Danio rerio: one gene and its partner. The protein of the gene in region 2 interacts with the protein of the main gene of each other region in a pairwise test. Links are inferred from orthologs where the notes say so. Each region holds a gene or a part of one and is shown on either strand. Other genes may lie near its edges.

What was found.
Region 1: the proteins of si:rp71-19m20.1 (region 2) and cltcb interact in binary tests that used the Homo sapiens proteins (3 or more experiments, as listed by UniProt). The link is inferred for Danio rerio from reciprocal best matches to the Homo sapiens genes C10orf88 and CLTC.

The regions. Positions count from the first base shown.
Region 1 is NC_133190.1:19,741,469-19,745,297, reverse strand, and holds part of cltcb (clathrin heavy chain 1), read right to left. Parts: intron 3,493-3,829; coding exon 3,328-3,492; intron 2,797-3,327; coding exon 2,616-2,796; intron 1,881-2,615; coding exon 1,717-1,880; intron 1,620-1,716; coding exon 1,494-1,619; intron 1,401-1,493; coding exon 1,258-1,400; intron 1-1,257. UniProt on the Homo sapiens protein: Clathrin is the major protein of the polyhedral coat of coated pits and vesicles. Two different adapter protein complexes link the clathrin lattice either to the plasma membrane or to the trans-Golgi network.
Region 2 is NC_133187.1:11,905,588-11,910,041, reverse strand, and holds the start of si:rp71-19m20.1 (ATPase PAAT), read right to left. Parts: upstream 3,019-4,454; 5' UTR 2,704-3,018; coding exon 2,570-2,703; intron 1-2,569. UniProt on the Homo sapiens protein: ATPase that regulates mitochondrial ABC transporters ABCB7, ABCB8/MITOSUR and ABCB10. Regulates mitochondrial ferric concentration and heme biosynthesis and plays a role in the maintenance of mitochondrial homeostasis and cell survival.

The DNA of each region.
Region 1 (3,829 bases), on a different chromosome or scaffold from region 2:
AATTCATTTCAATGGCTTGTACCACAAAATGGCAGTTTGTTGTCACAAGTTGTTGTCACAAGTTTATTGTGGCCAGAGGAGACATGGTTATGCCTAGCTGAGACAGTTTTTTTCTTGCTCTGATTTGCTTGGCTAGGACTTGTGGAGCTGCACACCGGTAGAGTTGCACTTCAGTGTTTTCAGTGCTTTCAACAGTGACTTTTGCATCACACTGAACTTCAACTGTGACAACTAAACTGAAGCCATTTTAATTTACCAGAACTTCATCTATATTTTACATAATCTACATCAAAAAAGCACTATAGATAAAGATGAATTGAAATAAATATGAATTGAAAAAAAAAAGATCAATATTTTACACTGTGTGTATTCCATTCATGAAACTGTATTCTTATCTAATGATGAATCGCACATGCTCACAGGAAAAAAAGCAAATACATTTAAAGTCAGAATTATTAGCCCCCTTTGAATTTTTGTTGCTATTTTAATATTTCCCATATTATATTTAACATAGCAAGGAAATTTTTACAGTATGTCTGATAATGTTTTTTCTTCTGGAGAAAGTCTTTTTTTTTTTTCGGCTAATATAAAAGCAGTTATTAATTTTTTAAACAACATTTTAAGGACAAAATTATTACCCCCTTTAAGCTAACTTTTTTTTCGATAGTCTACAGAACAAACCATCATTATACAATAACTGCCTAATTATCAAAACCTGCCTAGTAAACCTAATTAGCCTAGTTAAGCCTTTAAAAGTCACTGTAAGCTGCATAAAAGTGTTTTGAAAAATATCTAGTAAAATATTTTTTACTGTCCTTATGGCAAAGATAAAAACAAATCAGTTATTGGAGATGAGTTATTAAAACTATGTTTAGAAATGTGTTGAAGAAATCTACTCTCTGTTGTACAGAAATTGGGGAAAAAATAAACAGGGGTTCTAATAATTCAGGGGGGCTAATAATTCAACTTCAACTGTACATGGCATTTCTACAAAGCATACTTCATGCTGCTTGTACTGTCGTTGCAATGCTGATAAAATAACATCTCTTGACTTTTTTACTATCAATAAAATTGTAATCTCAATTAAATGTGTAGGGTATTTTAAATCTGTACAATTTATGTTATTGGGTTAAATTAAAAAATGTGTCACAAAATATATTTTAAAAATGAAAAAATGGAAAATGGAAATGGAAAAGCATTTTCAGTTTATATATGATCAGCAAATTGTTAAACTCTTAAAACACTGCAGTGTTGCACCTGTTTCTTTTCTCCACCTCCGCCACAAGCTCATCAGTGGAGAACTGTCCTCTGACCACCAGAATGAGGTTCTTAATGACGTCCTCAGAGCAATCCACATCCAGTAGCCCTCCAATCACCACAGGCAAACGGCTGGGGTTGACCTGATAAAAACAGTCCATCATTATTCACTCTCCCATTAAGCTGAAATGTTGATGATGATTCCTCAAGCATTATCATAATCGCGCCTCAAGTACCTTCTGAACATAAATCTCAATGTACTTCTGGAGGTTGTTGCGGTACAAGTAGAGCACAAGGTCATGGACAAAATCAAAGCGGTCACACACAATGATGAGGGGCAGCTGGTCAGTCAGTTTTGCTTCCTGTGAAATATGAGGAAGATAAAATAAATAATTAAGCAACATTAAGGGTTTGTTAAAAGATAAAAAGTAAATTCAGGAGCTTATTGTGGTATCACACCTTGAGGAAGTTCTTCACTCGCTCAGGATCATAACAGTTGCTCTCCCTGCAGATTCTCTCCACCTCTTTGATTTGACCAGTCTTACAGGCAGCCTGAATGTATTTAAAGTGAACCTCTGGATCCTGGCTAAAGTTCACAATGGAGCCCAGGAAGTAAAACAGACCTGTAGAGAACAATCATATAATGTTCACGAGATCTTAATCATTTTCATGATTGGGTTCAATTCAAATAGTACATTTATAACGCTTTTGCTCTCAACATTAAAATATATTGTAGAAACATGATGCGCTTTAATTAAAATATATATTAAATAGATATTAAATAAACTAAAAAATACAATGAGAACTCTCATTTAGAGGGGTAGCAATCCTTCTGAAAATGTTCACTTTTTGTTCCAAACCTCTTTGAGCTTCTTTCTACACTTCAACACAAAGGAAGATACTCTGAAGAATGTTGGAAAAACAGCCATTGACTTTTATAGATTTATGCTCCTATTATGAAAACCAATGCCAGCTTTTTTCCAACATTCTTTAGAAAACCTTGTTTTGTGTTCAACAAAAGAAAGAAATACATAAAAGTTGTAAAAGTGTGAGTAAATAATGAGGATATTTTGAAATAGCCAAATATATAAAGCACTAGGTACCAGATTATATTTATAAAATATGTATTATATTATTTGTATAGTATTTCCATGTGTTAACCATTAAAATATACTTGGCTATTTGGTGGAAATTATGGTTTCCTAGGTGGAAATAACAGTTTCCTTAAGGTCAAGTCAGAGCAAATACACAAATATGGAGATCCACAAACACAGTTAAAAAAAGAGACATGATCCTTCAGGCAACACAACCCGGTCTCAATTTCAGTTCTGGTATACAAAACATTTTAGTATGGTTACCCTCAAAGCTCTTGAAGGACTCGAAGAGCTCTGTGAGGGACTGTGTGGAGAGCTGCTCGTGATACTTGGAGGCCACCTGGACACAGATCTGCAGGTTCTGCCGTATGTTGGCAGACAGCATGGCTCTCAAACACTCCATAGAGTCTTCAACCGAGAGAGAGCCAAAGAAATTCACCAGCCACTGCAACCAGAGCACAACACATCAGTGAAAGCTTTCACAAAATGTTTTTTGCAAAACAAGTGACAATGTCAACTTGCAAATAAAAAAACAGCAACTAAAATATTATTGTAGATGACAAATATCTAATACTGCAAGGTTGCTGCAAAAATAAAATCCTGAACCCAAAATACTGAATTTTATCGATGAAACACCAATAAAGCACAGACAGCCTTCAACGTTCAGAGTTTTGGTAAACTGGTAAATGGCTTTCACACTGAACGCACACTGCACTATAAAACCCATTTATTTCATTGGTTTGTGCCACAAAAAGGGCAGTTTGTCGTCAACTAGATTGCATGTGCGACGCAGTTAAAGTTCGTTTAGTCAGAGAAGAATTTGTCAAGCCCAGCTAAGCCTGGTTTCTTACTAGGTTTTTTCTCATCAATTGGTGAAGTACAGCACAAACCCCCAACAAAGTTTTGGCCAACTGGAGGACAGCTGACTAATAAAATAGCACTGAGTGCAGTAGCTGTATCAGACTGTGTGTTTTACCTCTGGGTTGAGCAGGTGTGTGTGGACCACCGCTCGTTTGATGTCATAAAGGTCAGTATAGTGCTCCAGAGCCCTCTGAAGAAGACCAGCCTTTTCACACAGCTGTGCCACATGAGCCCGATCATAGTGAGTGAACATCTGATTGCCCAGGATGGCATCTGCCACCTGAAAAAAAAAAAAAAAAAAAAAAAAAAAAAAACTAGCATGTTATGTACGGTACAAAACTTAAATATACTGAAATAATTAAAAACAAAATTATTAAATATAAACAAACACTGAAATCAAAACTGAAGTAATTAAAAATAACTTAAATATTTAACTAAACATTTAGATATATAATTATCACTCCTATTTTAATTCTTTAAAATATATTTTTTTGTGAATCGTTCACATTATTTACAGTTTTTCTCTCTAATTTATTTTAGTTTGGCTGGGATGGATTGTTTTATGTTTCAAAGACAATATTAATATCCCCTTCAGAATTTATTTTCTTGATTGGCTA
Region 2 (4,454 bases):
TATCTATCTATTTATCTATCTATCTATCTATCTATCTATCTATCTATCTATCTATCTATCCACACACAGTTGAAGTCTGAATTATTAGCCCCTCTTTGATTTATTTCTTCTTTTTTAAATATTTCCCAAATGATGTTTAACAGAGCAAGGACATTTTTACCATATGTCTGATAATATTTTTTCTTTTGGAGAAAGACTTTTGTTTTATTTCGGCTTGAATAAAAAGCTGTTTAAATTTTTTTATGAACCATTTTAAGGTCAAAATTATTAGCCCTTTAAGTCTTCAGAACAAACCATTGTTATAAAATAACTTGCCTAATTACCTTAACTTAACTAGTTAACTTGATTAACCTAGTTAAGCCTTTAAATGTCACTTTAAGCTGTATTGAAGTGTCTTAAAAATATCTAGTCAAATATTATTTACTGTCATCATGGCAAAGATAAAATAAATCAGTTATTAGAAATGAGTTACTAAAACTAATATGTTTAGAAATGTGTGGAAAAAAATCTTCTCTTCGTTAAACAGAAATTGGGGAAAAAATAAACGGGGGCTAATAATTTAGGGGGGCTAACAATTCTGACTTCAACTGTATGTATATATATGTATGTGTATATATATATATATATATATATATATATATATATATATATATATATATATATATATATATATATATATATATATATATATATATATATACACACGTGTCTGTGTGATGTATGTAAAATTTGGCCCGCGACAACGTTTGTCTTTTTGCATCTGGCCCTCGGCCCAAAAAGTTTGGACACCCCTGCTTTAATAGCTTCAAAAGGATTTCAAACCTTCTTCAAGATCAGATATCTACTATTCTGTCCATATTGTTCTGTGTTCAACCAAATATACAAATGCATAAAGGTTTGAAACCACTTGAGGCTTAGACAACTTTCATTTTATGAACTAATCCTTTAATTTTAAGAATGTTTTAGGTAGGGGTGTGAACCTACACTGGTCTCATGATTTGTTCAGTTACAATTATCATGCTGTTGATTCCGTTCAATTTGATATCTCGGTACATCACGGTGCATTGACGATGCTTTCCATACAGAATTAGATTTTTTCTTCAAAACACAAGATTTTGTTTTTATTAAAATCTATAAATATATTTATATTTTTATATTATTTGTAATACAATTTTGTCCTTAAATAAACGCAGTAAGATATATAAACTGTACTTTTAATTTTACTTGCTCAAAGAAAAATCTTTTTGAATGTTTAGACAATATTCCAGTACATGCACAGAAAACAACATGAGCATTTATAGGAAATAGACTAATGTAAATATTATCCATCTTGCCTTCTGAGCGCTGTCAAGTTCTTACACTCCTATGATTGGTCACTGTCTTCACCCGCTCAATAGAGAAGGCTGCGATTAGCTTTGAAAATGAAAGCGTTGTTCACCGATGAGTGACGTGGGAAGAACAACCGCAGTTACAGTCTATTTGCGCATAATACGCGTTTATCACAGGTACTCCATAATAGTGGAGTGGAGAAAACTTGCACCACTGGCAAGCTCGTGTCTGGATCCACAAGTATCGCTGTAACAGCCGCGAGGAGAGGAAAAGTTACCTCAAGTACACGTCAGCGGGTCAAATGTCCAAAGTGAGAAAGAGGCAGAGATGGAGTTTTACAGCATTTCTCGCTAGTAGTGAAACAGCAGTTTGTGTGCTGTACATTCTTCAGTGTCAAAGAAAGACTGTCCACCAAACTCACAAGCAGTGAATTGTGCACAATTATCTGCTTTTTAAGTAGTTGGAGCATTTTAATTTCTCGCCCTCGCCTCCTTTGCCATAGTATTCTACAGCGACATAGCGCATAGGAGATAAATGTCGCCACTACGTAATAACCGGTTATGATCTATTACTGAACCAATATTGAACCATCTGCATCTGCATCGCAGTGCATCAAAGAAACAATTTATTTTGAAACTCAAGTTTTAGGATTAACTTAACAAAGGTTAGTCAATTATTAATGAGTGCATTTTGGATTTAAAGTGGACCTATTATGCAAAAATCACTTTTAGAAGGGGGTAAAGCACAGTTGTGTGAATTTAGCCAGCCTCTAATAATAAACTTTAATTAATTCTAATTTTAAGAAGAAACACTTTGGCTGACATTTTCCCTTTGTATGTCATCGGAGGGGGAAAGTCTCACCTATTAGTGATGACCTCATCCCTCGCTCATTAGCATAGAAAGCTCTGTGCAAGCAGCAGCCGTCCGCCGTTAAAGTTTTGAATCTGCAGCTATGATGACACATAGACGTTTATAGCTCCACCCTCTTTTGAAAAGAGGGCTGGAAGCACAATTTTATTTTAATTTAAAGCGACAGTCACCATAACTACGCAATTTGTACCAAAGTCTAAAAGGGGCAGTTTCTAAGATCTATGAAAATGTGTGAGGTATTATGAACTTAAACTTCACCAGCACACTATAGGGACATCAGTCTTATTTTACACATTGTAAAAATGGGCATAATAGGTCCCCTTTAAAAGTACACAATCGAATCACTATTTTAGCCACCAAACGGACTCACCTGTCATGTTGAAACCATTGTGTGTCGTTCAGTTTGTTGTCTAGTGTCGTGCTGAGAACATCAGAGAGTTGCTTCTGTGATGAACACGGCCATGAACTGTTTGCAGATATCAGACCATCTTTACTCGAGAACATCCTGATAAATGCTTCTTATTGCCCCACCAACAGCATCCACACACACAATCCGATATTTTAAACCGTTTCCCATAAAACAGCCAAAACCAATACGATTAAGTTACATACTGCACACTAAAGTAAAGGATTTCAGTTACGTTCGTTCATATATCTGCAGTGAGAGTGAGAAGTTAAAACATATTAACTAATCAAGTTCGAAACAAAAAACACAACATCCTCGCAGTGTTTTTCGTTTTATAAAAGCAATAAAAACAAACTGCGCTCTACTTTAACATTACATTCTAAACAGCGACGGCAGCTACTCTAGGACCCTACAAAGGCGCTCAAGCATACGCCTGAGTAAAACACAAACGATTCACTGTTTTTCTATTTTTTTATTTAGTTTTCTCATGTGCGGTATGCAAAGGATAAATAAATAAATATTATTGTCATACATTTACTTCTGTCAATAATAAAATACTATATTCATCTCATGTAGTTTCGTTGCCTTTGAAGCCACTGAAAAGCAAAGAGATTGAATTAACAGAACAGCAAACAATACGAAGCTTCAGTTAATTTATTAACGACAAAGATAACTTTTAACAGTTGAGAAACGATGAACATGTTTATTATTTACCAAAAAAATTTAACTGAATACCTTTTATTTATTTACTTATTTATTTATTTTTTTAATTTTATTATTATTATTATTATTATTATTATTATTATTATTATTATTATTATTATTACATTTTAACAGTACAAAAAATAGGCCTACATGTCAGGGGGTAAATAAATCAAATACAAATATACAAAATGTACATTTGTAATAAGCATGAATACGTTCACAGTAAGGTGTGTAGTGCTTTCTTATATTTAGAGAGTTTCTGATACTACTATATAAGCATAATTCAGTCATCAACACCTTAAAATTCGGTTTCTTATTGATAAATTTACATTTATAAATGTAAAATTTTGTTAGCAAAATAATTTAATTAATTAAATAAAAACAACTTTCCTCTCGATTGGGGTGGAAATGCCAAAAAGTATATTTTCCCACAACAACGACAGAGGTTAAGAACACTGTTATTAATAAATCTTTGCACCTCACTTCATAAGTTGACTGAGTATGCGCAATGCCAAAATAAGTGTAAAGCAGTCTCCTCATATTCATTACAAACAATACAATTTACTTCAATCCCACTTTTAAATTTTTGTAAATAATGTTTTGCTGGATAAAGTCTGTGGAGAAGTTTATAAGATATTTCTTTAATTTTAATTCTAACATGAAATTTTTGTGGCCACACTTTTTTCCAGCAAATCAGTTGATCCTAAAGACATCCAATAAGACTGAATATAAGGTACAGTAATAAGTTCTCTTTGGAAAAGGGTACGGATAGCCTTATTACTGTAATATAGTAAAACAGGTTTTGCCCATATATCAAAACAAAAGACGATGCATCAAACGCATGGACTTGATACCTCTTGAATACGCTTAGTAATTCGTCCCTGACGTGTCATTCGAGCGCCATCTAGAGGAATAAACTTGTCATACTTAGTTCAGCCAGTGTCAAACAAAAAAATACCAGATTAATGAAAAAGACAAGCCAGGGGGCTTCGGGGGGTTCGGAAGACGGTATCCACCCCCTTTAAGACCAAGTAGAATCCTCTGCTGGCTGTCGCTTTGGTGTGACTGTGACTTAAGTTAATCAGTTTTGGCCAATGCTAACATTTTTTTTTGTCCAACATCTGTGCAAAAAACACATAAGCAA